Linked DNA regions of Solanum lycopersicum. The protein of the gene in region 2 binds, or shares a complex with, the protein of the main gene of each other region. Links are inferred from orthologs where the notes say so. Each region holds a gene or a part of one and is shown on either strand. Other genes may lie near its edges.

What was found.
Region 1: MSI1 (region 2) and FIE share a complex: the UniProt entries of both Arabidopsis thaliana proteins name them as parts of the plant homeodomain / polycomb repressive complex. The link is inferred for Solanum lycopersicum from reciprocal best matches to the Arabidopsis thaliana genes MSI1 and FIE.
Region 3: MSI1 (region 2) and chromatin assembly factor 1 subunit FAS1 share a complex: the UniProt entries of both Arabidopsis thaliana proteins name them as parts of the chromatin assembly factor 1 (CAF-1) complex. The link is inferred for Solanum lycopersicum from reciprocal best matches to the Arabidopsis thaliana genes MSI1 and FAS1.
Region 4: MSI1 (region 2) and VIN3-like protein 1 share a complex: the UniProt entries of both Arabidopsis thaliana proteins name them as parts of the plant homeodomain / polycomb repressive complex. The link is inferred for Solanum lycopersicum from reciprocal best matches to the Arabidopsis thaliana genes MSI1 and VRN5.
Region 5: MSI1 (region 2) and EZ1 share a complex: the UniProt entries of both Arabidopsis thaliana proteins name them as parts of the plant homeodomain / polycomb repressive complex. The link is inferred for Solanum lycopersicum from reciprocal best matches to the Arabidopsis thaliana genes MSI1 and SWN.

What each region holds. Positions count from the first base shown.
Region 1 is NC_090806.1:68,821,955-68,827,858, forward strand, and holds the start of FIE (fertilization-independent endosperm protein), read right to left. Parts: upstream 3,808-5,904; 5' UTR 3,719-3,807; coding exon 3,539-3,718; intron 2,302-3,538; coding exon 2,236-2,301; intron 2,136-2,235; coding exon 2,013-2,135; intron 1,673-2,012; coding exon 1,592-1,672; intron 1,426-1,591; coding exon 1,333-1,425; intron 1,205-1,332; coding exon 1,129-1,204; intron 395-1,128; coding exon 315-394; intron 215-314; coding exon 143-214; intron 1-142. Other genes in the region: protein CHLORORESPIRATORY REDUCTION 41, chloroplastic, read left to right, coding at 5,023-5,631. UniProt on the Arabidopsis thaliana protein: Polycomb group (PcG) protein. PcG proteins act by forming multiprotein complexes, which are required to maintain the transcriptionally repressive state of homeotic genes throughout development.
Region 2 is NC_090800.1:88,996,853-89,002,683, forward strand, and holds the start of MSI1 (WD-40 repeat-containing protein MSI1), read right to left. Parts: upstream 3,781-5,831; 5' UTR 3,639-3,780; coding exon 3,294-3,638; intron 2,092-3,293; coding exon 1,765-2,091; intron 1,326-1,764; coding exon 1,173-1,325; intron 650-1,172; coding exon 525-649; intron 390-524; coding exon 294-389; intron 1-293. UniProt on the Arabidopsis thaliana protein: Core histone-binding subunit that may target chromatin assembly factors, chromatin remodeling factors and histone deacetylases to their histone substrates in a manner that is regulated by nucleosomal DNA.
Region 3 is NC_090810.1:3,428,780-3,434,812, reverse strand, and holds the start of chromatin assembly factor 1 subunit FAS1, read right to left. Parts: upstream 3,397-6,033; 5' UTR 3,244-3,396; coding exon 2,788-3,243; intron 1,275-2,787; coding exon 1,175-1,274; intron 623-1,174; coding exon 475-622; intron 387-474; coding exon 263-386; intron 119-262; coding exon 1-118. UniProt on the Arabidopsis thaliana protein: Component of the chromatin assembly factor complex (CAF-1) involved in chromatin assembly following DNA replication and DNA repair. Assembles histone octamers onto replicating DNA in vitro.
Region 4 is NC_090804.1:22,640,782-22,646,882, reverse strand, and holds the start of VIN3-like protein 1, read right to left. Parts: upstream 3,318-6,101; 5' UTR 3,037-3,317; intron 1,576-3,036; 5' UTR 1,524-1,575; intron 1,307-1,523; exon of another isoform or gene 1,240-1,306; intron 1-1,239. UniProt on the Arabidopsis thaliana protein: Involved in both the vernalization and photoperiod pathways by regulating expression of the related floral repressors FLOWERING LOCUS C (FLC) and FLOWERING LOCUS M (FLM).
Region 5 is NC_090800.1:74,596,192-74,602,099, reverse strand, and holds the start of EZ1 (histone-lysine N-methyltransferase EZ1), read right to left. Parts: upstream 3,566-5,908; 5' UTR 3,465-3,565; coding exon 3,417-3,464; intron 2,816-3,416; coding exon 2,714-2,815; intron 2,068-2,713; coding exon 1,796-2,067; intron 1,165-1,795; coding exon 1,003-1,164; intron 1-1,002. Other genes in the region: DELLA protein RGL2-like, read right to left, coding at 4,792-5,908. UniProt on the Arabidopsis thaliana protein: Polycomb group (PcG) protein. Catalytic subunit of some PcG multiprotein complex, which methylates 'Lys-27' of histone H3, leading to transcriptional repression of the affected target genes, mainly abscisic acid (ABA) responsive elements.

The DNA.
Region 1 (5,904 bases), on a different chromosome or scaffold from region 2:
AATCAGAAGAGTAAATATCTCCCGGTAAGAAAGATAAAGCCAACCAATAATTCATACAATAGAACAGTTCTTTTCTAATAAGCTCATATAGAAGAACGGTAAAAAAAAAGAATTCAGGTAGAAAGCAGGTCAATATATTCACCTTGGACAAGATAAAATCACCAAGCCATCTGTTACAGTCAACGTAGTTGTTATGGACAGAAGCTATTAACAACTGAAAGGACAAAAAGAAGGTTACAGCAAGAAAAAATCCTCCAACCAAACTTTCAGAAGAAAGAAGGCAGGGAAGGAGAGAATTAACAAGAGTTACTCACTGGAAACTGTACATATTTTGTGGGAAACTTGGAAGGAAGATCCGTCCAAGTAAACGATTTCTCCACATATGTCCAGAATTCTGTAGCACAAGTAGTTCATCAGAAAAGAAATATCAGCTCATATTGATGTTACTTCTTTATATATACTGGTAACATTACTCAAATTGATGTTACTTCATTTTATTTTTTTTCAAACTTGTGTAACAACAGAGCACCAATGGAGCAGATGACTACTTAATCTGACTCATAGCCAACGCTACATCGTTTCCAGGGACAACAGTAAGGTAATTGCTGATAGGTGTGACTATAACTAGGGAAGTAAAGTAGTGTAGATAAAAAGCATTGTGAACACCAGAATACATAAATTCTAGGATAACTGCATGCTGCCTAATATTCCTTCCAGGTAATTGGTACATTGATAACTGCGGTTGGATCTTTGAAAACGTTGGCATCATTTTTATACTTGTAACCAAAGACAAAGATATCCTTGTAGAAATATGTGCTAATAAATTAATGTATTCCACAATGAAGATTGTGTGCAAGTCATTATTTCAACACGTCCAGGTAGTCGTGTGAGATTCAAGATATATCGGTGGCAAAATCACCAAATCCAGAAAAGTACAGGCATAGCACCATCATCATCCCTAAAGATTCTGGAAAAGCCTTGTGAATACAGCCAATAACAAGTTGCTACTCTAAAGATCACCCTCAGTTTTTCTCTTTTCAAAGTTTTAGACTGTGATGATACTTAGTATTATATCATATGTCGTATTTCAATAATACATGTGAAACTGAAAAGGGTTACAGGTTTTACCTTTCATTGACCAGATCTTAACAGTGTTATCCATTCCACAGCTAGCAATCCGATATATATCAGTAGGATGGAAGTCCTACAAACATCACAAACCAGCTGATATGCTTAAATATTGGTTCTCAGTATTAGTAAAAGATGTGAAAGACATTACTTTGCGACCAACTCCATCCTTGGAGTGGAACTGCAATTGACAGAGAAACTTACCACACTAAGTACTTCATTCCGATGACCTCCAGCGCCAGCAAATACCAAAATGCATATTCCAGTATGAACATTCCACAAGCGAACAGATTCATCCTGTAACACTCGTGATAATTACACTATGCCATGTAAAATATTTGCAAAATTGATTGATACTCCACATACATCTTGCAACTGTGCAAATATTTTTCTTCCAATAAAGAGGATCAAATATATTTTTCCTTGCGGGGGAAGGAAATAGAGGAATCCATAAGGTACATACTTTGCTGGCAGATAATACAAGAGATGGTTTCAAGGGTTGAGTCCTAATTTCATTTACTGAGTCTCCGTGCCCCACAAAGCTCTGTTCAATCATAAGAAAGTAGATTAAAATAGATTAATAGACATATGATATTAAGTTAACATGTAACTAGCTTTAACTTTTAAGAGAACCTTTCTCTTTCAAGTTTGTATTGTTAATACAACTTAACATGGAACGAATCATGAAGGAATATTTAACTTGTAAATATCATGATGAATAAGATGGATTGAATCATGGAAAAAGGAAATACTTTAGTTTTAAGATAAAGATCAATTAGAGGGCTGTTAAAAACTCATATGCAGATATTCATTTTTTATAACTAAAAGAGCAACTACTTTTGTTTGAGCATGTAAAATGTGAATCAGAGATTTCATGTCAAGACCTTGTGTAGCTTCTCTTTCCCAGCATCAATAACACGAATAACTCCATTTATTCCACCAGCCACTAAGAATGGACTTCCATCAATATTGCAGGCCCAACTTACAGTGTAAAAGGATTCATCTTTCTGATTTACACAGCACATGGAAAAAACAAAAGTTTTTTAAGTATATGAAATAACATATGTACAGAACAGATGGAACAACTGTGTGCTTGCAACTTCTTACATCTTCATCAATATAAGACTGCAGCACAGCAATGACACCACCTTCGAGACACTGATATACAGTCACCTGACGAACAGCCAGAAAATAAAGACTAGTCAGGATATCGACAATTGGCATACAGTAAAAGCATATCCTGACTTCCTGAGGCTAGTACTATTCTTCTGTTGTTGTTATCTTCTTTCAGTTCGGTATTCTGAAACAACTCTCAGATGACATATCTAGACCAATAAAAGACACATCACTTAACAAGAGCATGCACTTCTCCAAATCCTAAATTTACTTTTACATCATCCATAACTCTCAACTTAGATTAGAAATACAACAAGATATATAATAGCATAACTCCACACTGCTAAGAGATTATACAAGATTACAATCCATACCCAATTCTGAGAATCATAACCTTTGCCATGAACAATTTATAATAGTAAGGTGAACCATTAGGTAATTATTATCAAATCTGTTGAATATGTGGCACTCTGCATGTGTGGAGAAACATACAAAAACTGTCGATCATTACACCATACAACATAAGTTTGTACAAAGCTGGCTCATCCATCCTAAGTCATAACTACATAAAGACATTTCAGTTTGTGACGCATCAATGAATCTACCAAGATAAGCATAAGAGCAATTGTAGGAAACAAAAAGGGTCCTTGAACCATCAATCAACATTAAAGCAACTTGCAAGTCCAATTTTAGCACAATTTCATCTGAAACAAGCAGCAGCTCAACTAATATTAACCCCGAGGCATTTAAAAAAATAAGACAGACCAAGATGGAAAGAAAAACAAAAGATTGATACTTCTTACCTAAATTGTACAAATTTTGAACTTCCATACTAATACATGAACCCAAAAATAACAACAACAAGAAGACCAACTCTTCAACATTAACCCGTTTCATTTCAGAACTCAAGACAAATGAATGAAAAAATTGAACTTCCATACCAATAAATGAAGCCAATAATCACACACACAAAAAAAAAGAGCAACCCATCAGTCTCAAACAATTGGGACAGTTACACCCATACCCGTCATCCCGTTTCATTCTAGAACTCAAGACAAATCCTAAAAGAACGAAAATTTCGAACTTTCATAGTAATACATGAAGCCAACAACCACAATAACAACAATAAGAGCAACCCACCAACCTCAAACAATTAGGTCGTTCATACACGTACCCGTTTACCCGTTTCATTCCAGAGCTCAAATTACTAAAAGAAAAGTATTATATTCCACAAATTCGAATCAGCACAACAAACAAAATACAATTTTGACAAACCCCAAATGAAAAAACTCACACGATTTCCGCCCACAGTAGCAAAGACATTGAAGTAGCGCGAATCAATGAAATTGAAGACGACGCCATATAATGGGCGTTTGCCTTCTTGGAGTCTGTTCGTCACTCTATACTCCTTTTTCCTTGACGGTGTTAATGATCCAACAACTGGCTCACATCCTAGAGGTACTCTGGCCGCCATTGCTATCACTCCGCCAGAGCTTAGAGAGGAACGAAAAACTCTACATATTTACAGTGTCCCTAAAATATTTGTTAAAAAAAAAAAGACGCAAGTGACATTTTTTTTTAAGATTAATTTTATACGTGAGATGAAATTAGCGTTTTAGATATGATCTAAATTTTCAAATTAATATGATTTTCAGAATTTTAAATTATAATTTAAACGTTTTAAATAGAAAAATCGACCTGAATATATATTTTATTTTTAAAAACCTTAATAAAAATATTTTACCATCATTGTATTAAGTGCACAAGACATATCATTGTGAGTTTGTGACATTAATTAATTGAAAAAAACAATTTCTTTTACTAACACCTTGAACAGTATTAAGGTTCGATCAATTAATACGGTATGTTTTAAGAATAATATTATGATACGGTATATGTGATTTATTAAATTTTTATTTATTTGATAAGATTGTAAAAAAAATATAGAATAATTTTATAATTTATGATTTTTTTATATTCATGATAAAATGTTCAAACGACATATCCAAATAAAATTTGAACTTTATCTTATGATGATTTTGTGTCATATGACCAAACAAGATTCTAAACAAAAGTATATCAAGTACATCAGGAAAATAAATATGATTCTAAAGTAAAATTATCTTTAATTAGAGTAAAGTGATATTCTTCAACGATGAAAATAGTGTCACATGAAATGAACAAAACAAGTGTTGTATTCTATCTATATTAAAATACTGTCATATTTTATTTTTCGAGAGTAATTTAATCAATATTAATTTTAAATGAAAATAGGCGAAGAAGTATAGTTGGTTAGGAGGTATGGAGAGTTACTTTTACTTTTTGAGGGTGTAGGCTCGTAGATGTTTGTTATTGTACTAGCGACATTTCTTTCTTATTGACTTTGCAGTTTCTTCTTCGTTAGTTATTATGTTTTCTTCTTCTTTATACTTGAATTGATTGCTCTTGAGATGTGAGTATTCAAAAATAATTTCTTTACCTTCGCGAGATGGTGAAAAAATTTGCATATATTTTATCCTCTCAGATTCTACTTGTGAAATATCACTACATATGTTGTTATTGTTGTTTACCATATGTCAAGATTACACAAGAAATAATACAAGTCGTACTTTTTCTCAATATCAAAAATTAAACATGACAAATATTTCGAAACGCAATGTATTTCAGGTAGATATTTAGCTCAATCTAGATATTCACTTTTATCAAATAGTGTATATTGACAAAAGTAAATACTACACTATATAAGACCTTATCAACTTTGTTGGAGAATTTAAAACAATGGCTTCTTCTTCAAATATTCTTCAACTTCACCATCTCCATCTTCTTCCTTCAATTCATCCAATTTCTTGCGTAAAGCAATTCACTATCAAATGCACTTCACCTGAATCTTCTTCAGACCCAGAATTTCTAACCCCAAATTCAGAAACAACAATTAGCCCAGAAAAATTCCCAATTGAAAAACGTCGAAAATCCGAGATAATCCGTGAGAGAAAATCAAGAACTGAGCTTATAAAGCAAGACCCACCAAATTTCGAAATTGGGTGGAAGAGAACAAAGCCAATTCCATTAGATAAGCCAATTGGGTATGTGATAATGGATTTTTTGGAGAAATTGGAAGAGTTAATGGCTAGGGATTTTGGGTCGACGGCGTTGTTAGCGAAAGTTGGAGAAATAGTTGCAGAAAGAGCTAGGGAAGAAGCGGAAGTGTTGAAAGACGAAGGAAAAGTGGAGGAGAGAATGGTGACGGAATTGTACAGAGTTTTGAAGCTTATGGAAATGGATTTAGCTATGGTGAGTGCTGCTGTTAAAGAAGAAACATTGAATAAAAGACTTGAACAAGCTAAAGCACGTTGTAGGCAAGCCATTCTTGTTGCTAATTCTTTTTGACAAATTTGTAGCATCTTTGTTTCACTTGTACTGTATTTAAGTCTGTATTTCATTATCGACGAGCACGACCCAGAAAGCAAAAATCCTTGCTTTTGCTGGCTAGGGTTAAATATTGACACCTCCAATATGAAAGTCCCGAGTCCAAACCACGAGGTCACCTCGAAAGGATTGTAGATTTCATTTTTGGCCAAAAGCTGAAATTTTTCCTATTGTATTACAAAAAATCATCAATAATCGTTACATCTTTACTATCAAGGAGTACAATTGAAATAT
Region 2 (5,831 bases):
GGACTAAAAGGTGTTTTTCCAAATAAATGGGCAGTAGCAAACAATGAAATGGGATAGTTTTCTAAGGAGTACAGGGATTGACGCCATGTGGGAGAAGAGGGAAGGAATAGAGATGATAGATCACAACTCTAGGTGAACTATAGCTGGCAAGATAAGGCAGGTGTTAACTTATAGATGGAATAATTAAAATTCAAAACATCAAAGAGCAAGATAGAATAAAAGCACCCACTGGACCGACAGAACATTCACTCTGATATTATGAAAATACTAGTAAGGATAGTTGGAAGAGTAACCTGCTGAGATCCCAAACCATGAGTCTCCTACCAAGGCAACAAGAAGCTAAAATGGTTTCATTCTTTGGATTCCACCCAACCTGGAAAACTTCCTCCCTGCAGAAAAGTTGCAAGGAAATTAATGATAAGCAACTGTAAATACAGATGAACAAGCTTCTATTATACTATTTAACACGAATGATGACGGAGCCAACATTTTCCTCAAAAGTATATGTAAGGAAGACATCTTACTTGTGACAATCCAAAGTATGAAGTGCAGTAGAAATCTTGCGTAGATCAAATAATTTAACTGTCTTGTCTGTAGACCCCGTTGCTACAACCCATTCATTAAAGGGGTTGAAAGCTAAGCAGTTAACCTGATCAAAAGAGAAAGGAGGTCAATCATGTACAATCATCAACACAAGACTGCTTGTTCACAAAAAATCTAGATAACTGCATTCAGAAATGTTTTTCATAATAGGCCATGTGCAGTAATGATCATCCTTCTATGATATTGTACATTTAATAATCAGCAGAGAGTATGGAAGGCAGGATCTTCTCCTTAAACCATTTAAAACGAAACAGAAATTCATCCAGACATGAGCATCACATTATAGTTTACACACACAGCAATCACTTGTTTGCACATCCAATAATGTAAACCCACGAAAATGAAAAGAAAAAAAAGTACAGGTAAAAATTGGGAAACACTAATTCTAGTTTCAAGAAAAACTATAATTATTTTGTAAGCACAAGATCCTCACATTTCTGTGCAAGAAAATCAAAAGACTGCCAACAATGTTAAGAAGACATATCTGAGTGGTTCTTACACCAGTCAAAAGGGAAGCATTATTAACTACATAAACGTGGAAAAGTCCAGCTAAGAAGTCTAAGCCGCACCTCACTTTGATGTGCAACTACAGATTGTATAGGCTTGGTCACTGATGGAGTTCGCAGATCCCATACGTGCAAATACTGATCATCCCCAACAGAGCCAAATAAATACTCATGCCTCAGATGCCAAGCTACATCCTCAACAACACCTTCATGAACCTACACATTTTAAATATTAGAATAAACCAACAACAGCTGACAAAAGCTTAATGAGAAAATAATACGAGAGACAAGATTCTTGTCCATGCTAGGTAGACTGAAGCTTCAGACAGCAAATAGTAGAGAAGATGATACCAAAAATATCCTTTGAGACAAAAGTTGGGACACTATTGAAGTTACAGTTTAACTTTGTAACATGATATTAATAAAGAGAACTCATGCTATTCTGCTTCGCTTGATCTTTTTTTACTTCGAGGTGCCTGGGGGTGTTTGCTGGAAGGGAAAGCATACAAGTTCTTCTCCAATTATCAATTATGGTTATTTGCACAAGATAAAACTACAAGTAGTAAGTGGGTGCAACAAATTGATAATCTATGCAGTGTAACATGGCAATATCTATCCTCTGCAGACTCGTCAGAAAAAAAAACACGAGGCAAACCTTAAATATCTGCATAGCCTCTAGAGCCTTATTTTTGGGAGTGGCATTAATGTCCCATAAACATATATGTGAGTCATCTGAACCACTCAATAGATGACCCTGCTTAAATTGACTCCAAGACAAACCATACCCCTCTGTACTGTGGCCTCTTAACCTCAAATCTGGATTGCATGCACCATCTAGAGGAGGCTTAGATGGATGTTTACTGTAGTCAAAAACATATACTTCAGCACTAACTGTCTTAGTTGCAATGATAAATGGGTTTTGGGGCATATATCGAGCCCGATTAACCTCTCCATCGTGATTTATTTGCTGGATTATTTGTACCTGAAAGAGAAATATTTATCATTATACATAAGCCACTCAATGTTGAAACAGAGACAAGAAATTCACTCTGATATTATGGGAAATAATAGTACAGCAAAAAGATATCAGAGTAAGGCCTTCAAGTGATAATTGGAACTGACAGACCATTTTTAAAACCTTTTTAGAGAATAAGATTTTACAGTTCCATGCCCTCATCATAAATAGAAGAATTCATTATCAATTTATCACTGACTCTATGTGGATAGTACCTTTGATATCTGTGACATCAATCTACACTAAAAGGTGATAGTCATAAGTGGTATTCTCATAAGCTTTTTAAAGTTCTAGCTGACTATTCAAAACTTCATCAGTTTTCTCCTGCAGCAATGTTGCTTCCAATCATCTTCACATTCAAATGAGTGGAGCAACTAAACCATTAGTTTTAGAACGCTAGCCGAATCAGGAAGCATTGGCTTTGTTACAACCCATTTCACCTAAGCTACCAGCAAATCACTACTGATTTGGGGTCCAAGCATCATTATTCATATATGATATAAAAGCCTCAAGTGCCCTTTATGAAGAGAACCTTTCAACAATATCAGGACAGAGAAAGAAGCAGAGGAATAATAAAAACTACAACAACGCATAAAATTTCAATAAGAAAATGTCAGTCAAAGAGTTCACTCTGCCCAAAGGGATTGACCTATTAGGTGCCCTTATTTGGTGTGGTGGTGGGTCAGAAAATGGTGCACTAATTATGCTAGGCCCCCTTTTTTCCCCTTTGGTGAATTTTTGATGAAATATTAACTGTACCTTGAGCAAAATCCATGAATGAACTGACAACTTCCAATTCACAACTCCCTAGTACCTACGCTGCAAAGGAGAAAACTTTGAGCCAACGGTCTATTGTAAACAACCTCTCGAACTCCACAAGGTAGGAGTAAGTCTGTGTACACACTACCCTCTGGGACTACACTGGTTACTTGTTATAGTGTTGTTAATAAACTTTAAACCATTTACTATATAACATAATCCCAAAGCTATCAAAATTCAAGAGATTCTTAAACAGGCTGCCCTAGAACAACTAAACTCTAGTACAAAACAAGTAAATCTCAGACGTTAACACTGAAATTAGCCAGAAAAATGTAGTAAAATAAAACATCCAGAAAATGAAAACCCATATAAAACAGCCAAACAAGGCATAAAACAGAATAGATTCAAACCTTGCCATTGGCACAACCAAATCCGCCAAATTCAGACCGATCATCATCATAGTGGCGGGCATCATTCTCAGCATCCTCAAGAGGCAGCTGAACCTGAGCAAGCATGAGATAGTTAGGCTCATTTTCCGATGTATGAGTCCCCAAAATCATCTTCTGAACGGAATAATCCTTTCCCGACGGCTCTTCCCGGTCCGGTAACCATTCGACGGTGAGCGAAGGCCATTCAAGCGCGTGAGTAATAACCAGATCGTAAAGAAAAGGAGTATTCTTCTTCCAAATCTTGTACTCCTCGTTTATCAGCCTCTCCTCAATTTCACCCCGCATCTCATCTTCGTCTTTCCCCATTAAACAATTTCAAGAATTGCCTTAAGATTTTTCTTCTTCTGTTTTGAGTGCGTGAGGGTTTGGGTTTTGTGGAGTTTGGGGATTTTTACGAGGGTTTGTAGAGAATTGGAGGGAACGGTATTTTTCAGTGAATTTTCTTTTTCTTTTTTTCTTTTTTTTTGCGGGATATGTGCAAAGCTAAAAGGGTTTTATATTGCGACGACATTGGGCTGTGTGACCCGAATTACGAATCGGTTGGATGTGCAGGTATCTTTACATAAATAGCCGCCAAATTTATCCTCTAGCCCCATTAAATATAAACTATTTTTACTTTGTTAACTACTCCCTCTATCACTATTTACTTATTCATGTGACCACATATTCTTTTATATCTATTCCTATTTACTTGTCTATTTTAACAAATCAAGAAAGGACAATAATTTTTTTTCCTAATATGTCCTTATTTAATTTTAAAAAATTTCTAGTATTAAAGGATCCTACAATTAATAATTAGTACCGATATAAGTTATTTCTTTTCTTGAATGGTATAATAATTCTGAAATAACTTATCCATGGACAAAATGACTAATTGACAAAAATATCCCTTTAAACACTTTTTATATATTACTTCTCACATTCATGAAGGGTGTTCTCGTACACATATATGTTGTTTAGAAGATTTATTATTTTGAATACAACAAACCAAATAGTCAATAAAAAATATTCTTAGCATAACTTATTTCATCATAATTAATTCCATCAAATATGAATTCAAACCAAACGAGTCACAATATTATCGAGAAATTTCTTGTAATTCTATTTTTTTTTGTTATATATTGCACTTGGATTATCATATTACTTTGTCATAGATGCTTGTGTTTTTAGTATGAATTTTCTTGTTTGCTTTAATATTTTTTCTTGATTCCTTTATTTTGAATGTTTCCCTTTTTATTATGATTAGTAAGGTTTGATAATTGAGTGGAGAGTATAAAAACAAAACTTTATTTTATTTAATATGAGTAGAATTTGTATACATATTTACCTTTTAATATTCTGTAAAAATACGTTAAATATGTTATTGTAAGATAAATATATCATAAAATTTATTTGGTAATCTACTAAAAATGAAAATGAAAATATATTATACCTTAATTGTATGTTCAGAGTGGACCTATATACCAAGAGCAATAAAATTATGAATAAGAATATCCAAGATAAGGACAGAGTAACCTCTTGTGATAGGAAGAAAGTAACTCTGAGATGATCTAAACGTATGAATAAGAGATGTGCATATGCTGCACTGAGGAGATATGAGAGGTTAGTTATAGTAGATTCGAGAAGCAGTAGAATAGGCAGAAGAAGTATTCAGAGAGCTAATCAGTCACGACACAAAATAACTTCTAATTACCAAGAATACTATCTTAAACATGAGGGCGTGGAGGACACTCAATGGGGTAAAAGGTTAACAAACAATGGATGTTGATGTTTGTTGTCGTATTATTTGTAATAATATAGTTTTTGCTTTTGATATCTATCATTGTTTGTTGTTTATTACGTTTCGATTATCATACGATTCTTAACTTCTTATTCCTTCTCTTGTAGGTTTTACATTGATTCCCTTATTAGTTGCTAAATAATCTTCATGATTTTTTTCATCTTCTTTTATTCAAAAAAAATAAATTACTACACTTGAGTTGATAATCTTTCAAAAGCAATTTTTCTAACTCTACGAGATAGTCATAAAATCTACTATTCCAGTTATTAAATATTAATTTAAGGAAAAAGGGCCAAAATACCCTCAACTTTGTGTTATTGGTTGATTATACCCTTATCGTTAAAGTAGAGTTATTTTTATCCCCTACTGTTACTATTTTCACCAGTTTTACCCCTTAACTGGATGGAAAATCCAAATCAACTAAAATTACCCAATTTCAATTGTATGACCTGATTTTCTCATTTTAATAAGAGCCCGACCCATTTACCAAATTTAAAACCCAAATCAAGCTCCAACGACCCAAAAATCCCATTCATTTTCTCCTTTTTTCCGACGAAACACCACCGAAACAACCTCCAAACGACCAATTGAAACCACCACTCAAAAGCCACCAAACCCAGGATCAACACCAAACAGAAAACATTAACAACAAACCCATTTTTCTCTACTTTCTGGTGCCAATACAAGACCTTTCGTCTCAATTTTCTGACAGTTCTAAG
Region 3 (6,033 bases), on a different chromosome or scaffold from region 2:
GATCTTTCTCAGTTTCTTCTTGTTCTCTCATCAACTGCTTTTTCAGTTTAGATTCTTCTTTCTCAAACCGCTTTTCCTCTTTCTCTGCTTCACTTTGTAGCCGTTTTAACTCTTTTTCCTGCACAGGGAGATTTAGCCATCAAAAAGATTAATCAAGATCATATTTAAAGGCATGGCCAGTATGACACCACCAATGGCACACTTCTAAAGATATGCCAACAGCAACAAGCATTTAACCAACAGGTTGAATCAAATGACTCACACTTTTCAATTTTTCTTTCTGAATTTCACGCTCCATCCTTTTCTTCTCTTTTTCAGCTTCTCGTTTGTTTCTCTCCAACTGCTTAATCAAAAGTTTCTCCTCCAGTTTGACTGACTTTTCAGCCCTTTATCAATAAAGAGATTTGAGTAAACAATGGGAAAGAGGAGACAGATACAGGAAACAATACTAGGGAAGAAATAGATATCACATACACTTCAGCACCATTTTTCTGTTCCATGCTTGCAACTAATAAGCGGATATCTGCCTCATTTAATACTTTGCCAAGCTTTTCAGAAGCCTTCATCTGTTCTTGGATGCAGTTTTGATCAGTTTCCACCTTTTTTAGCGCAGTCAATAAAGCTGCCACAATGACCAAACACAAATATTTCAGCTTATCAAATTTCTAAGCTTGTTGGAAGACAACCAAATAGATCATTCACTTGTTAATGAATTACATACAAAAAGCCCATCCAACATATGTTTCCATCTAGGAAATAGAATCAACAGAAATAATTAGACCAAAAAGATCACAAGTAATTGCACTGAATGAATTAAATCAATAATGCTATGTACTCTAATTCACATGCTATCAGATGGATAAGAATAGTGGAGTAAACCAATAGAAAATCAAATATACGATCACGTTTCTAAATCATCCAAATTCAGTTCATGTTTTCATCAACGCAACTGGAAATGATCAGCCTCACTGAAAGCCTAACCAAGTGTATCCAAAATGCAAGCAAACCAAAAGGCCAATGTTTAGAAGCAACAGTACCACAAATTACGCCATATATAATATGGACACCATTAGCATGAGACCCATATATGAAGTACACAAAATATTGCAAGGTTAATAGAAAGCCTTCTTCACCACAAACAGATTAACATGTACAGTTATTAGTATTCACTCACCAAAGACAGATGTAATTCTCTCATGGATTTTTTTACGACAAGTCCTGCGGATCTTCAGGATAGCCCGGACTGATTTGGGCAACAATTTAAGGTCTCGTGTCTATAAAATAATAAAGGAATTGCATTAGCATTAGCATTATTTATACTAAAAAGTAGATTAAAACAGATGACAGAAAACTGTATCATGAATACATTGAAAGAATAAATAGCGGGAAAGAGTTGTCTATGGGTTTCCACTTTCTAGAATCAAATCCATTCACCAAATTTGCATGCAAAAGTTCAATCGCCTGATTGAAGGGTTGAAGCATGTACAATATTGAGTAACTAGCATAACTATGCATTAAATCTAATCAATGAATAGCTAATTAACAAATGCTTGATTCTCCAAAAATACAATACTTTTGGAGAATCCGACACACACACACTAACATCTTTAAAGAGTCTGAGCAATAAGCTGAACTGCCATTGGTTGAAACAAGACACTCTTTTGATAGATCACACAACATAGTGGATCCAGTCTAAAGATTAGAAGCAATAATGAACACTAATACACAATGAAAAATCTACAACAATCATTTGCACCAGCTATTAACACTAGGAGTTACCATAATGAAACACCCACATGCCAAACACAAGAGATTCTAGAAAATCAACAAACTAGGAAAGCAAAATGTCTCTAATAGTGATAAGCATAGAGGATTCAGCTTCCATTATCAATACATTCACACTGGCAATCACCATCGGCTCCTACATTGCTCCGATCCCACTGAAAATGCAAGTTCTCACAGATTCTGGAACCGGTTTAGGAAACCTCTAAGGGAAGATACAATCAAAAACCCTCAAAAGAAGGATAAAATGAAATAGTTGTGGCAGTGGGGAGATAGAGAAGAGAGCTGACACGTGTTTGTTTTGTAAAATTTAAAATTTCTGGAAGTTTTGAGATTTATTTCAGTTTCCGCCTGTTGGTGAGAATAATATGATGGGTTTTATTCTAGTTCTCAAACCTGTGTGTTGGAGAAAATGCATCATTTCAACTTAAATCCAAACAGTTCTTAGAGGTGCAAATTACTCCATCACTCCTGATTGTTAACATATTAAGAGTAATCCTACAAATAAGTCTAAGACAGATAATATGTACTCAACGAAAGGAGTATCCAAAATTTGAAAATAACAGGGTCATATCAATGAATGATTATTAGAAATTTCACTTTCTAGAATCAACTCCATTCACTAAATTCGCAATTTGAGTAACTAGCATATATATGCATGATAACTAAAAATTTCCTTACGAGCATCAAATCTAATCAATGAATATTCATTAAAGCTAAGCAGATATGCTACTGAAGCAAGACAGCCATTTGACACATCAAACAACATAGTAGATGCAATCTAAACATTAGAAACAACAATCAACATTAATACACCAAATTAATGAAACACACACATGCCAAAAGAATCGATAAACTAGTAAAACAAAGTTTCTCTAACAATAATATCGTTAGAACATCCAATTCCCAATTCAATATTCATGTAAAAACAACACCCAAAAATCTAGCGATTCAAGAGTTGCTTATGAATAAACAAACCCAGATAACAAAAATTGAAACTTTTACCTCCCAACACCAAAGCGCCGACTCAGATTCATCCTCCAAAACGTCAACATCTGCATCTGGGATTCCGTAAAGCATCCTTTGCCCAACCAAAATCACAGCACTTTTCACACTAACCTTACTACAACTACACTCACTACCACTAATCTTGTCAAAAATCACATCCACCAATTTCGACAACGACAGACTACTCTCCTCCATCATACAAGCAATCACCGAGTTCAACCCCAACCCTTTCAAATCCTCAACTTCCACAACTTTCTTCTCCAATACCTCCTTATAATACTCAACCAACCCCTTCATTTCCACTTCCAACCCATCAATCTTCGCCGCTTTCTCCTCCGGACTATCCATCACCAAACTAACCCTCTTCCTCTTCATCGTCTTCTTCACCGATCCATCCGAAACAACTTCCATCTTCACTTCCTCAACACCGTCAATCATCATCGCCTCCGACATTGCTCCGATTCAACTGAAAAATACCCAAACTTGTATATGAAGATTCAATGAAGAACAAAAAAAAAAAACCCTAGAAATGAAATAGTGGGTGGGGGTTGAGGTGGGGGTAGTGGGGTGATAGTGAAGAGATGTGCCGCGTGTTTGTTTTTGTAGAATTTTAAATTTTTTTATACAAATTTTTAGATTTATGTTTGTTTTCCCGCCTTTTGGTGCGAATTATTTGCGGGGATTTTTTTGGTTTTCGCGCCGTGAAAAAATGAAAGGTTTCATAATCCAAACGGTCCCTTATTAGCAAATTAATTAAATATAAATATTACTACTTACTATATATTAAATTAGATATATATTTTTATTGTATTTATTTCTTAATTTTTTGTCTATAGTTTAAAATATTTACGTATTGTTTATTGTTTTATCAATTAAAAGTAGGTAGAGGGAGGCGAGTGAGATAGTATGTATCTCATATACATGTGAATTACACTGGAATATCAGATACGCGAAGAGAGGCGAGTGAAAAGGTCATATACATGCATGTGTGAGTTCACTTGGATGTATTTTGAATGAATTATGTCTAGTTTTGGTCTCGAGTATTTGAGATACACGTGTTACGTGCAAGATACATGTATTTGAAGTTTAAAATTAAATCCGATGAGATTTATGATATTGTAAATTAGTGTGAATATACATAATTAACGTTTAAACTAGTGATGTTTATGTAAGTTATCGAAAAATCATTAATGATTTATTGAGAATAAAGTATTAGATTAATAACATTTAATTTGAATTAATAGCTTGCTATTATATTTGAATTTTCCCATGAATTATGATATTGGTTAGTGACTAAATTGATAACCCAATAAATCATCAATTTACAGTCGAGAAATTTACATAAATATACTATAGTAAAAAAATATTTACCATTTATAAAAATAATATTTTTTTCACTTGATCACTTTTAATTCATTTATAATACAAGTTAAATACATATTACAAAAAAAATAATTTATTATTCACATATAATACAAGTTTTAATGATGGATAATGCATTTATCACACATTTTAATACAATATGATAATTTTTAACCAAACAAACATAAGATATTTCAAAAACAATTATAATTCAAATATATTGCACACATAATTCACTTTTAATACATATTACAGATTTATCACAGTATTAATATGAATAATTAAAAAAAAATATTGCTAAAATTAGTAATTATTTTTAAAAATATATTAATTCATATAATTTTTCCTTTACAGTGTCTTGTATATATACACACTGATAGGCTTGCCCAAAGTGTTGAACCCATTGAAAAAAAGTAATTGCAATTTTCTTCTTGCTACTATTTTTATTTTATGAACATCATACACATATATAGTGATTTTATGAGCATTTTTTCTTATATGTTCAATTGAAATTGAATTGAAAATAAAATTTGATATAAATATTTTATTAATCTGGTTATTAATTTTGCAGATTTATAAATTATAAATTAGTAAAATGAGTCGACAATAAAAATATTGAGGAAAAAGGATTTGAAAAATATTTTAACTTTAACGAAATTGTTGTTACGATCCCAAATTTTATGAAATTTTTTTTACCCCTAAACTATTTAATAGTGTATTCTAACGTTAAATATGTGCCCCGTTTGAGTGAATTTTTTTTAACAATAATCGCCACAAAAACATCAAACATCAAACTGATTTATGGAGTGGCAAATTTTATCTTGCAATTGACATTATCAAGAAATCCTTTTGCTAACAAACAGAAATCAAGACTCATAAAATTTACTTTTTAAAAATGTCGAAGAACTATTATTTAACTTAGGGAAAAGGGTCTGATATACCCCTAAACTTTGTCATTTAGAACTGATATACCCTTTGTTATGAAAGTGACTCATATATACCCCTACTTGTAAACAAATGGCTCACATATACCCTTTTCCTCTAACGGAAATGAAAAAAATAATAATTTAAATTTAAATTTTTATTATTTTTTTCTAAAAAATATAATCCCATATTAGTAAATTTAATCCTCATCAAACATATTCTTTTTGACTTTTTTTTCGTTTCAATGACTAATTTATAATTATGTTTGATAATCAAATTTATTTATGTTTCACTAATATTCTTGTAAAACTTATTGTAGATGACCAAATTTTTTCTTCGAATACGAAACTAAATTACAATACACACAAGAAAATAGTTTAATTTTTCTTTCTTTAAACTAAGGAATGAAAAGAAAAAAACAAAATAAGAATAAGAAATTCAAATAATTATAATAAAAGAAGACAAAAAATTATTTATGTATGAAAAAAGTTAAAATATACCTTGAACTTTGATAGAAGAATCATATATACACCTAAATAATTTTTAAAAAAAAATAGAAGTAATAAATATAAATTTAAAACTAATTTTTTAACTTCCGTTAAATGAAGGGCATATGTGAGCCATTTTGTAACGGCAGGGGTATATGTGAGCCGTTTGTATAACGGTAACGGCATATATGAGTCTCTTTTATAACGAGGGGTATATTAGCTCCAAATGACAAAGTTAAGGGATATATCAAATCCTTTTCCCTTTAACTTAAAAGAAGTCTACAAAATTATTTATTGGTTTACCGACATTTGAAATATTCTAGATCATTATTTTAAAATTGGTTATAACAATTAATATAATATTATTATCCATCATGTAACAATTTATCCACATGTATAACAGATTTATGTTGTGGATACTTCATATTCTCAACAATAGAAAATTGACCAACTAATTCCATATTTTTCA
Region 4 (6,101 bases), on a different chromosome or scaffold from region 2:
TAAATGCAACTCAAACCCAAAAGCTAGTTCACAAAGTGAAGATTACTTGAACTATATAAATAGGCTAATCTTAAATCTCACAACCAATGCGGGATAACTTTAACACACTTGATATAATTTTATCAATCTTCTAGTCCACGCAGGACCTAATTTCATATTCATGAACCAATAAGATCTATATATGTCCCCTATAACATTTTCTTAATATAGTTGTTAAAATTAATAAATAACAAGTTGATGGAAAATTGAAGGAATTTGACTTCTTGAAATTAAGCATTGGATTTATGATGGCATCACATCATATGTGTTGTGGACAAAACAAAAAAACAAATGCATACTTTCACATAAGTGGGATTACAATGTTCCATTAGGATATTGATGTGAACAGAAAAAAAATTAAATTATATCCCCTACATGTTTCTCATGACGGACACCTAGTTTTCGATTTGTTAGAGCATATAAAGATAAGTATACTTAATTGACAATGACTTCCCTACTTATGGTTTTTTTATGAAGTACATTTCATAGATGATATCATCAATATGCATAAATCACTTTTTGGGCTTTTCTTGTTCCCTAGTTCTGGTCTAATCTCTTTTATATTAAGCAGACTTTTCTTTGTTAACTCTTTTTGTATTTCTGCATATTCTTCATGCCATCTACAAAATGTACTTCATAAAAAAATAATAACATAAGTAGGAAAGTTAGTCTCAATTAACTATACTTATCTTTGTATGCTCTAATAAATCCCTTAATTTATTGAGCATCATTTCTTAATTTTATGCACCATGGTTCACTTTTTTTAAGGAGGGTAACCTCAAATATTATAGAAAACAACTACTATAACATACATGGATTTTACGAGCTTCATCCTCAATTTAGTCTTATAGAGATTTTTTTTTTTTACAAAAGTAACAAGTTTGTATATAATCATCCGCATTAAGGCTGGGATCCCAAAAATTTAGATCACAAAGCTACATACAACTAAGTAGGCTCAACAACCCAAAAAAAGAAACCTATCTCTAGGTCCTATATCATCTTACAAGGATTCTAAGATGTCTACAATTGCTACAGGATCATCTATATATTCCGAACTACACCAATACCAAAAATTTTAAACATATTGAAACCATAAGACTAAAACATTCACGTTGAAACCTATAAAGCTAACCACCATGAAATGTGTGAAAAAAAAAAGAAATCAGAATAGGAAGTTAAATTGGATGTAGGCCAGAAGACCTAGTTTCCCATCTTCCCATGGCTAAGATTGCGAGCCTAGGGCCAAGAAATGGTATATATACATATCCTGAAACAAAAAAAAGGGAACCAAGAATTGAAGAGTAAATACAAGAATCATTATGACTATTCTTTTATACTCAAAATACCATGGAGGTCTGGAAAGGATTTAAACAAGGAATCTACAGATACCAAAACAAAAATACAACTTTATCCTAATGCAGTTTCTCATGCTTAGGTGGTAGGTAGATAACTCCCAGGACATGAGATTAAGTGGACATTCTCACCTTTATAAATCCATCAATGATAGCCAAATAAGGATGTGGCAGCAACCCCTCCCTGTGACAATAAGATGTTAAGTTTCATAAGTGATACATCTCTGCAGTTTAGGTCTCTAAAATGAGAGACAAACATTTTCCTAAAATATTGATTACCCTTGTATCCAGCATCTTAGGAACAGGCAATTCAAATTCCACACTAAAAAATTTTAGAGAACATTTAAGTTACCAAAATTTCAACAGAAAGTCAGAAACACAAACACACGTGAAACTACATAGTCATTTACACACAACCACACCAAACACAAAACCTTACTCCCTCCATTTTTGCATTACTTTTCTTTTAAGTATCCTACTTAGTTTGTTTAAAAAAGAATGACACATCTCTATGTTAGTGAGCTTTTAATTTCAATATTCCTACTTCAACCTTAATGACACTCCCTTATGGAAATGACATGATATACTTATGATCACAAGATTCAGAGGATATTTTTAAAATGTTATATGCATCCTAGTTTAAAACCACAAAATTGACAAATTACATCATTAAACTCCGTGTCTACTCCTAGTCAAACTAAGACACAAACTAAAACAGAGGAAAGATTAGATCACATTAAAAAGAATTGTAAGATTCTCATAAATATGATAAAATATGATCTTGTAAATATAGTATAGCTTGATTTACTCCTGTAATTATGTATTTTGATTCTCTTTCCTTTCTTAGAGTATGTATACTTACCTATTTAAACCCCAATGTCCCAAACCACAAAGATTTCCCATGCTACCCTTTTGGATTCAAGATTGGTCCACCCTACCTATTTGTTACTCCACACTCTTCAAACTTTTGCATCTGTTACTTGATCCTTTATTATCTTTTAGAAAGCACAGTAGAAAAATCATCCTTTCAAAACCTCCCTTAATCACCATCCTTTTGTGAAGTTCTTTACCTCTCACATCTAATGATATTATTCTGGTCATGGTAAAACTAACTGCACTTTCTCTTACCTAACTAACTTTGCTCCCGCCTACCTCTTTTGTTAATAAAAAAGAAGAAATAAAAAAACTTAAGCTATTCTAACCCCCCAAAGAGACCTTTCTCTCAATAACAACAAAAATGTCTGAGACTTCTATAAATCAGCACATGCATCAGTGTTGAAACTAGAATCTGCAACACTAAAATGGTGCTAATGCTAAAATCAGCTATCCCAACAAGAAATACTAAAATCATTCACAGACGCAATGAGCATTTGGAAATTACTAGTGTCCTAGTTCTTCACATTGCCCATATTCAGCAAGGAAACAAACCAGAGATAACCAGCAACCAACTCGTAACAGTCAAAACACCTCATCACGAACAATACCCAAAATATATATACTACCCAGCAAAGAGAAACAAAATTTCACAAAAACAATCAACAATCACAAACTTGAGTAACAGATCTGGAACCAAACACATTCAGCAAACAACCAATAAGAAAACAAATATATTTAACAAAAACATGAGAAACTCTGAAGAAAGTACCTGATGTGATTAATAAAAAAAAAAGGAGAGAAAAATTTAGGGTTATCGAAGGAGAAAGAGAGAGAGGGGTTTGTTTGGAGAGTAATGAAAAATTCTCTCTCTGTGTTAAAGAAAAGTTGGGACCTGTTAATGTTAGTTGGTGTTATACCAAATTTCTGCACGCCAATTAGAGATGATCCTCACGCGTAATTTAGGAGCGTGACCTGCTCTATTTGCCTGTTTTACAATTTGCTCGTCTCTCTCACGCTTTTTATTCTACTCTCAAGATAAGGTTCTATCATATTTTCTGTTGGAGGTATTCACTTTAACTTTTATCACCTCCACATGCATGTGCTTTTCATACCTAAATAAATATAATATTCATTTCCAAATTTTACATTTATACTACTATATTAATTGGAAAGGATTTAATTGTACCCTTCTACTTGCTTTGTTTTTCTTCATATTAACAATACTTTTCTTGTATTATGTAATAATATATATATGTGTTTATTTTCAATCAAATATTATGTATTACTTGTTATGAATAAGATCTAATATAGTTACATTTTGAATTGCTAGTTCAATTCGGCATCAGATTTGAATTTGGGTTTGATTTTAGTTTTAAAAAATGATCTATTGAAAGATCACTTTTGAGTAAAAGTTTTGCCCCTATATCCTTTCTTACATGCGAGACACATTTTTTTGCATCGGCGATATCGCTAGAAGATATGTATCTCTTCAACACATTAGTTTGTATCGTATTGTTGTATAATTATACATCAATGTTTCACCGATCCAACGCTGGTTGAAAAGAAACATCTCATTGTTGTCCTGGTTTGAAATGGTGCTTGAAGGGTGATATACAATTTTACGTCAATGGTCGCCGATGCAGCACCGATACGAATTGGTATTGCATTTTTTGAACCATTGAATTTTTCTTGAAGCAGTTTTTGATAGCTATAAATATTTAATATTTACTTAGATATTAACATACTAACTAATACACATCAAGTACTAAATTTTTGAAGTTATAACTTTTTTTTTTGCAAAAAATCAAGTGTCATTTACTGTGAGTTCAAGATTCAACAAATTTTAAGGTGCCACTATTTGGCTGAAGTGAATCATTGAATATTTTACAAACAATAAAGTGTGTCGATTTTTGGTTCATAAGTTCGAACATTCAAATATTCATGGTAAACGGTAATTGAATCAGATAATGTTGAGTTCATTGGTAGAATTAGACTTAAGTTGTTTATAAAGGGTTTTAACGACCTCAAGAAGAATCAAAGGTGACTGGACTTAATAAATAGATTTCAAGACATAGTAAACATCAAAGAACATTACTTTCTTTGCATATGATTTGGTAACATTTCTTCTTGAATATGAGGCTCAAACATTCAAAGAAGTTTTTTCTTTGTAGACTCATTCTTTTGGTAATGGGTTGTCTATAATGAGATTTATTTAATCTTGAGCAATACATAGGAGTTGGTTGATCTTCTTCCGGGAAACAAACTTTTTGGTTCAAAATGGATCTTCAATAAAAAAATGAAAGCTTATGGAACTATTGAAAACTAATATACAAGACTTGTCGTCAAGGGTTTTAGACAAAAAAAGCCTTGATTATTTTGACACATACTCGCTAGTAACTAGAATTACATTCATTTTGATGCTACTTGCATTAGTTGCGGTATATGATCTTGAAATCCATCAAATGAATGTGAAAGCAATTTTTTAAATGGAGAGTTGGACGAAGAAATTTACATGAAGCAACCTAAGGAGTTTTGTGGTTCCTTAAGTCACTTTATGGACTAAAACAAACACCCAAACAGTGATATTCGAAGTTTGATCAAATCATGTTGGCAAATAAATTTAAGATTAATGAGTGTGAAAAAATGTCACGACCCAAGAGTACCCCCCCCCCCCCCCCACACACACACATACTAAGTCGAACATCTTAGAGACCTCATCTATGAAATCTTGAGGACCCTCTCCTTCTTTGGAGCCATAAAACTCCAGATGATTTATCCTCACAAAATCTCTCACTCTCAAAGTAACCATACTCATTATCGGATCCACCGGAGCTACCACCTCCCTGCTCACTTGAGCCGTTATAACTTTAGCCAACATTAGAAGAGCCGACCTAATCTCTACATTAGTCATATTCTCATATATATGGTAAATTGGAGCTTGGAGGGGACCTCTTGCTCCACATTGTATTCCGCATTCCTTTCAACATTAGCCCTTGAAGTAGTAATATCCTAAAAAATTATAGGGCACACATTAGGAGAAAAGACCTAATAGAGCTAGGCTCTATGTCACGACTTAGTGAATGAAGAAGTGAAGTTTTCCTAATATCCAATAGCCTCTTATTCATGACTATGATGCGTTTAACATGTATGAACAAGACTCTACTAGACGTGGTTTGAGTACTCCCTAGACGTAACACGACGTACAAGACTCCGAAGAGCCTCATACCAACCTCTTAGCATATCATAACATAAAAAATAGGAAATGGTGCAAAAATTTAAAAGTTTTTTTTTTAAAAAAATCGAAGTCTTTTATAAACACTATGTTTCAAACCATCTACAACACTTGAATAAATCTTTGGGACGTAGCCCATACAAAAGTGTAAAACATAAAAGGACTTAAAGGACGTGATGGTCAAGCCCTCGAATGTTATGAGTACTCTTTTATCTTCTTCATCTCGATCTACTATGATCCTAGCCACGAGGATGAAAGTCAATATCGCCAAACCCTACACTTTGTGAAAATGTAGAAGAAATATGAGTTAGTACAAAAATGCACTAAGCATGATAGTCATGCATAAAAACCTTTGAAAACATGCTAAAAGAGACGTTTTAGTTGAATGCATGCACTTATTAGTTTAAACTATCCCTTTGAAGATAATGTGAAAACACAAGTCATTAGCATAAGAAACATCAAGATAGGACATAGACTATAACATGGTATATAACAATTACAACTAATGAATACAAGAAATTTCATTAGGAACATATACATAGTCAATACAATGTAGTTTTGGTACGAGTACAACACTTCATGAGCCACCTCACTTTAGATCT
Region 5 (5,908 bases), about 14 Mb from region 2:
AGGGATAGGTTAAAGTATCCCCATGGAAGGGTATAGTGTGCTATGATAGTATTATTGAGTCGATTCGTACGACACTACAATGAGACGACTTGAGCAAGTAGGGTATGTGATACTTGCCACTAGGTTGATCACCTAGTTGACCTTGGATCTAGTGTCGGTGTTGGATTTTACACTTGACTTTTAAGTTCAAATGTTCAAATTTCAATTTGATATCAATGTATTATGTTCTATATCAAGTTATACTTGCATTCATTTTCTAATGAAGTCTTGTCCAAGCTTTGACTGAGAGAGAGTCAATGATACTTATAAAGTCTGTGACAATGTACTCTCAGCCCTCCTTAGGCCCCCTTTATTTTTCATATTTTAATATGAGGCGTGACACATGAGGAGCAGACATGGCTAGGGTGTCTCTCTTCCTAATGTGTATGTTGAGGCACAACTTTTATTCCGTGGTAGCTAGTGTGTCCCTTATTCTTTTCTTCGGACAGGAATTGTCCCAAGAGTTTAATTCTATTCCATTGTATAGAGGCTCCATAGAAAGTTGTGTTGGGCTGTAACAATGGGAGTTTACATGACATACATGGAAAGACGTCTCTTTTATTTTGATTTCATTATTCTTGTGAAATGCTTTAGGGTATGTTCTTTTGAAGTTGAAAATATTTCATGATTAATTTGTAAATGCAAAAAAAAAAAAAAAAAAAGGAAGGTCAAATGGCTTTCATGCATATGGTCAGGATGCATCATATGGGTTTGGTTTGCTTGGTAGGGTAGTCAGTAGTGTGTCTTTGCCGGTCACATGGACTTGGGGCATGACATATACAAACCTTCCCTATGTAAGCACTAAGCATTAGTTGCGACATAGAGAAATAAATTACATCAAATCCAACTCTTCGAAACAGTCTATGCTCAATTTTTCTCTTTGAAACAGAAGCAAAAATCTGTTTAATAAATGAACAATAACATTCTATAAAGTTGTAATACATGCTATTTATCTGAACTCACCTAAGAATTTTGTCCTCTCCCTCAGAAAAATGACGTTTCTCTTCCTCTGGTTCTGCTATGTCTTCCTCACTATCACTACAGATTAGTGCCTCACTACCATGCTGGTCATAGTATATCCGCCTTCTCCCAACCACTGATTGATCTTCAGCCATTCTTTGATTTCTGTGTTTTGTGAAGAAGAATTGAGAGCAAAGAGCAAATAAAATCCTCATTTCTAATAAGAATGAAAGTATAATCATGATAGCATCAATTATTGGCCTAATCGAAAACTCAGAAGTACATAATATAAAAGCTAAAGAAGAGTAACTGGAGAAGTCAAGATGAACAAGATTAACTTTAATGCATGATAATGTATGAATACTACTGAAAACTAGTTTTCTCCCAATCTTCTCCAAGCTATTAAATTGTGGAACTGCCTTAAGACTTTGGAGCGAGACTTAGCTGTTGATGGTAACTTATCACCAAAATAGATATTAAACGGAAAATAAATCCACGACAAAGGCCAAATTTCTATCTCAAGCTTGTCATGAAAGTGTTTTGTCCAAAAAATTTCTATCTCAAGCTTGTCATGAAAGTGTTTTGTCCAAAACAAATACAGAAAATAAAGAAAAAGATGCAAATTTTGGTGCTTCTAATTAAGCCTTATACTGGCGAAATATTCAGGTTAACGATATACAAAAGGCTAACCAATGTAGCTAGCACAAATGTTATTTTTTAGAATTTCTTTCCAAGTGTCCTCTTCTATGGACTTCTTCACAGTATTGTACTAGAGATAACTATGATTATCACGTACTTGTCTAAAAAGATCCAAGTAGTATATGGTGGAATGTTCTGAATGAAGGGAAGTCTAGCAGTTACTGAAGATACGACTTCCTCTCCATTAGCATAGTCCCTGTCTCCTGAACCTTGAACAAGTCCAACAACTTTGCAGAGGGGACTTGATATTCTTAAAGAAAGCATTTTACCAGTCCCAGAATTCTTCATAGTATCACTCCTTGATGTAGCCAACATAAGAAGTTCAGAAACATGAATTTCTAGCTTCCTTTTGTTCTCTTCAAGTTTGTCCTACACAAAAATAACCTTGTCAGATAATCCTTTTGCCTTTCTTTTAATTATGGTTTTTTTTGGAGGGGAAGTGGTTACAAAACCACTATTCATGTTGTGCCCATCAATTACAAGTAACATTGTAAAAAAGTATTCTAGCAAATTCATATGACATAGCACACCACAGTCACTCAATGAGAACCAAGAAAGTTAGATGAATTCTTTTATTGGGTCATATAACCTTCTTCGTATTCTTTATTTCAACTACAGTTTTTCTGTTGATGTTTATGATATATCTGTGTGTCTATATGTCAGAAATTGGCAGCCCCCACGTTTAATTGTACACTTTAATTTTTTTTTAACTTCCACTCACAAGTCTTCTGATTAGTAACTTAGAAAATAGAAGTTACTCACTAATTGGTTTGCTCACAGAACAAGTATTAAAGAAACAAAATATCTGTAAGAAAAGAATATTCATTTAAGATCAAAGTTTCCAATGAATGTTCTGCATTAACTACGGTATGGGTTGGCCGAACACCATTCAACATAGAAAGAGATAAGAGTGTCCGAGAAATGCACAAGCCTATCTGTGTGATTGCTATGATATCAGCAGAAATACAGTTTTAAGTGTTGAATATAAAATAGAGAAATGCAAAAGAACTAGTACCCTAACTGAAAGAACTCTGTCCGTTTGAATTTGCCTTTTCAGCTGATTGATTCTGTACTTTAGAGATGCTGAAGAATCCTCTTCATTTTCTCCATCGAACTTCTGTCAATTTACAAAGTTAAAGTTTTCATCCATGCTTAATTTATTCAAAAAGAAACACAAACAAATACTCATCTGAAATTGAATTGGGGAAAAAAGAAAAAGCTCAGACCTCATTAAATTACCTAGTAAAGACTATATTATCAGATGACATTAAAACAACAAAAAGGTACGGGGGAAAAGAACTCATAACCCATAATTTCATTCAACAAGGTAAGTTGAATAGATCATTAGCTAGATTGACAATTAAAGCAAATAGACCTAGTTAAAAAAACACAATCCAGGAAATATGTAAAGCATACTACTTTTCTAGTTCTTACTATTTCCTTACACTTTCCCCCTGTTTACTCATCAATGTCCTTTGTTTAATACCCATTTTCAGGAGCGGGAAAGCAAGGAAAATTACCAAGAACACAAAAAAAAACATGTTTTTTCTTCAACAAATTTTCATAGTTTTCCAAGAATTTCAAATACCCCACAACCCCACAAGAATATATGGATCAACAAGATGATCGGGGCAAAAGGGTGTGCAGAAAGTAGTCAAATTTGATGATGTGATTAACTTAAAAAACAATTCAAACATAGAATCAAGAAAGGTACTGACAGTGGGTGTGGGCGCAGATTCAGCAGAGATGGAGGTGGAGGAGATCATCAAGTCCTGTGTAGATAATCTTTCACAACAATAGGGAAGTGAAGGAATAGTTTTGATGAAGAAGAGAGGAGAGTAGCGTAGCGGAGTGATAGGAGACTTACGTGGAGATGGACTGATGATGTGACATAAAATCCGAATATGATATTAGAGTTTGATCTATTTTTTGTTTTTGTTTTAAATTAACTGTGTCTGTTAGGGTTGAATCAAAATATATATTTAAATTCGGAAATTTATCGATGTTTTTCGCGAAAATTTAATATCATATAATTAATAAAATAATATTCAGATTTATCAATCATTAAAAATAAATACTATATTATCTTACATATAAGACTACAAAGTAACGAACATTAATAATGTAAATGAAAAAAGTAATTATAACATCTTATCATTTATCCTTCAATCGATCTTCTTGAATTTGATTTTATAATTTATCCTTTTGCCTCCTCGAAGTAGTATTGTTATTTGATATTTTTGGAAAATTAGATAAACATCAACATGAGACATTAAATTTTCTAATAAATAAATAATATTTATACGTATTAACAAACATTTATAACAATAATTGTACAGAAATATAAACAACAAAATTTAAAAACAGGAACTAAAAAAAACAATTAGTATAATACACATAAATTAATGACGATAAAAAAAATATATCAACATCTAAAACAATAGAATGAAAAAGAAAGAAAAAAATTGAGTCTACTTAATGCACAGTGTCCCCTTAAGGAAATTATTCCCTTAGTACCGAGATTTAATGAAATTATTTAGACGTGTATTCAGATTCAAAGATCGCAATCTTAATAAAAACAAATGAGGTCTAAGACACTTTAATTGGACGATGTTCACTTTAGATAACTTATATAGAATCCCGCTATGTCATTTTGACAACCTTTTAAATATAAACAAAAACATACAATGCGTGTGTATTACACTCGCGGATAATGTATAAAATAACCAATTAAACCACGACATCTGTCATTTATGTCAAATTAATTATAAATAATTAATGATAAATAAAAAAAATGATCAATAAATTAATGACACATAATATTTTATTTTTGAAACTGATAACATTAATGATGACACGTAATATAAACACTTAATTAAAATATGTAAGTAAAAAAATTATACCAACTTTAAAAGGCTACCGATGAATTAAAACATATTTTAATCCTATGAGTTTTAATTTTGTACTTAAATTATCACCCATAGTATATTTTTTAAACGAATGAATTACACTTAAGTGTATGAAAAATAAATGCACACATGCTGTTCAACAAAATTCCAAAGAGAAAGCAATTCATCTTAGTTTGTGCATAACTCAATGGAATTTCCAAGCAGAAGTGGAATAGATTGGAGTTCCTTTCCAGCTGATCATGAAAGACCCTCTGTTAACATCCACACTGCAAGAATTCTTACAAGCAAACTGTTGAATAATCAAGTTAGCTTGATACAAACATGTGTCACTTAGCTTTACTTCCTCCATTCCAAACCTCTTCAAGAATGATCTCCACACATCAAGATTCACACTTCTAATGACCCTTTCCTCCCCTTCATTTCCTACTACGTTCCGAATCCCTGCTCCGTATGACACTTCCAGTGTCATCCTGTGTTGATCATCCCGCTTCATTACATCTTCCAGGCAATCAAATAATGCACTGTAGTAGAATAAAGTGTCTATGAATCGGTTCACGAATAGAGGTGAATTCAGATTTGCCTCTACTTCTGATACTACCATTAGTGATGGTTGTAGCCTTCTTACAACTCTCATTGCAGTTTCTAAACAGTTGGGTATGCTGATCATTGCTCGTAGAAAGAATGCTGCATGGATTACTACTGCTTCGTCAGGTTTTATGTCGAAGTGGTCTTCGGTCAGTTGGTTTCTATCTGGTAAAAAGATGATCTTGAATGAGAAGGGGAAGTTCAAGGAATTAGCGAAACTCTCTAAAGACTTGCCTGTTTCTATTACTCTTTCTTTATTGACTGATTCGATAACTGTGATCTTCATATGTTCGATTGGGTTGTCTTTTCTCTCTGCTGCTGCTTGGATCAAGGATGCCCATTGTACCCCTGTTCTGATAAGGAAATCAATTAGGTGAACTTTGGGTTTCATTGCTACACTTTCTAGTATGGCTTGAATTCCTGTGAAATGCACTATTTGGGTGAATGGAACTTCTTGATGTAATGCTACGAATGAGGCATGGAATCTTGATGCAACACAGATACTGTTAAGTTCATCTGTCTCCGTGCAGATTTTTGGCATTAATTTTCCTGTTTCTCTATCGATCCTCTCTCCAAGTGCTTGTGCAAAATAAAAGACTGCTCTTTGCACAGGGTTACCTGTGTTTGATGCAAGTAGTTGGCATTGACTCAGAAATTTCCTTGCACGATCGTAGTGCTGGTCAGAAACTTTCTCAGCTACAGCTAGGAGGATTTGA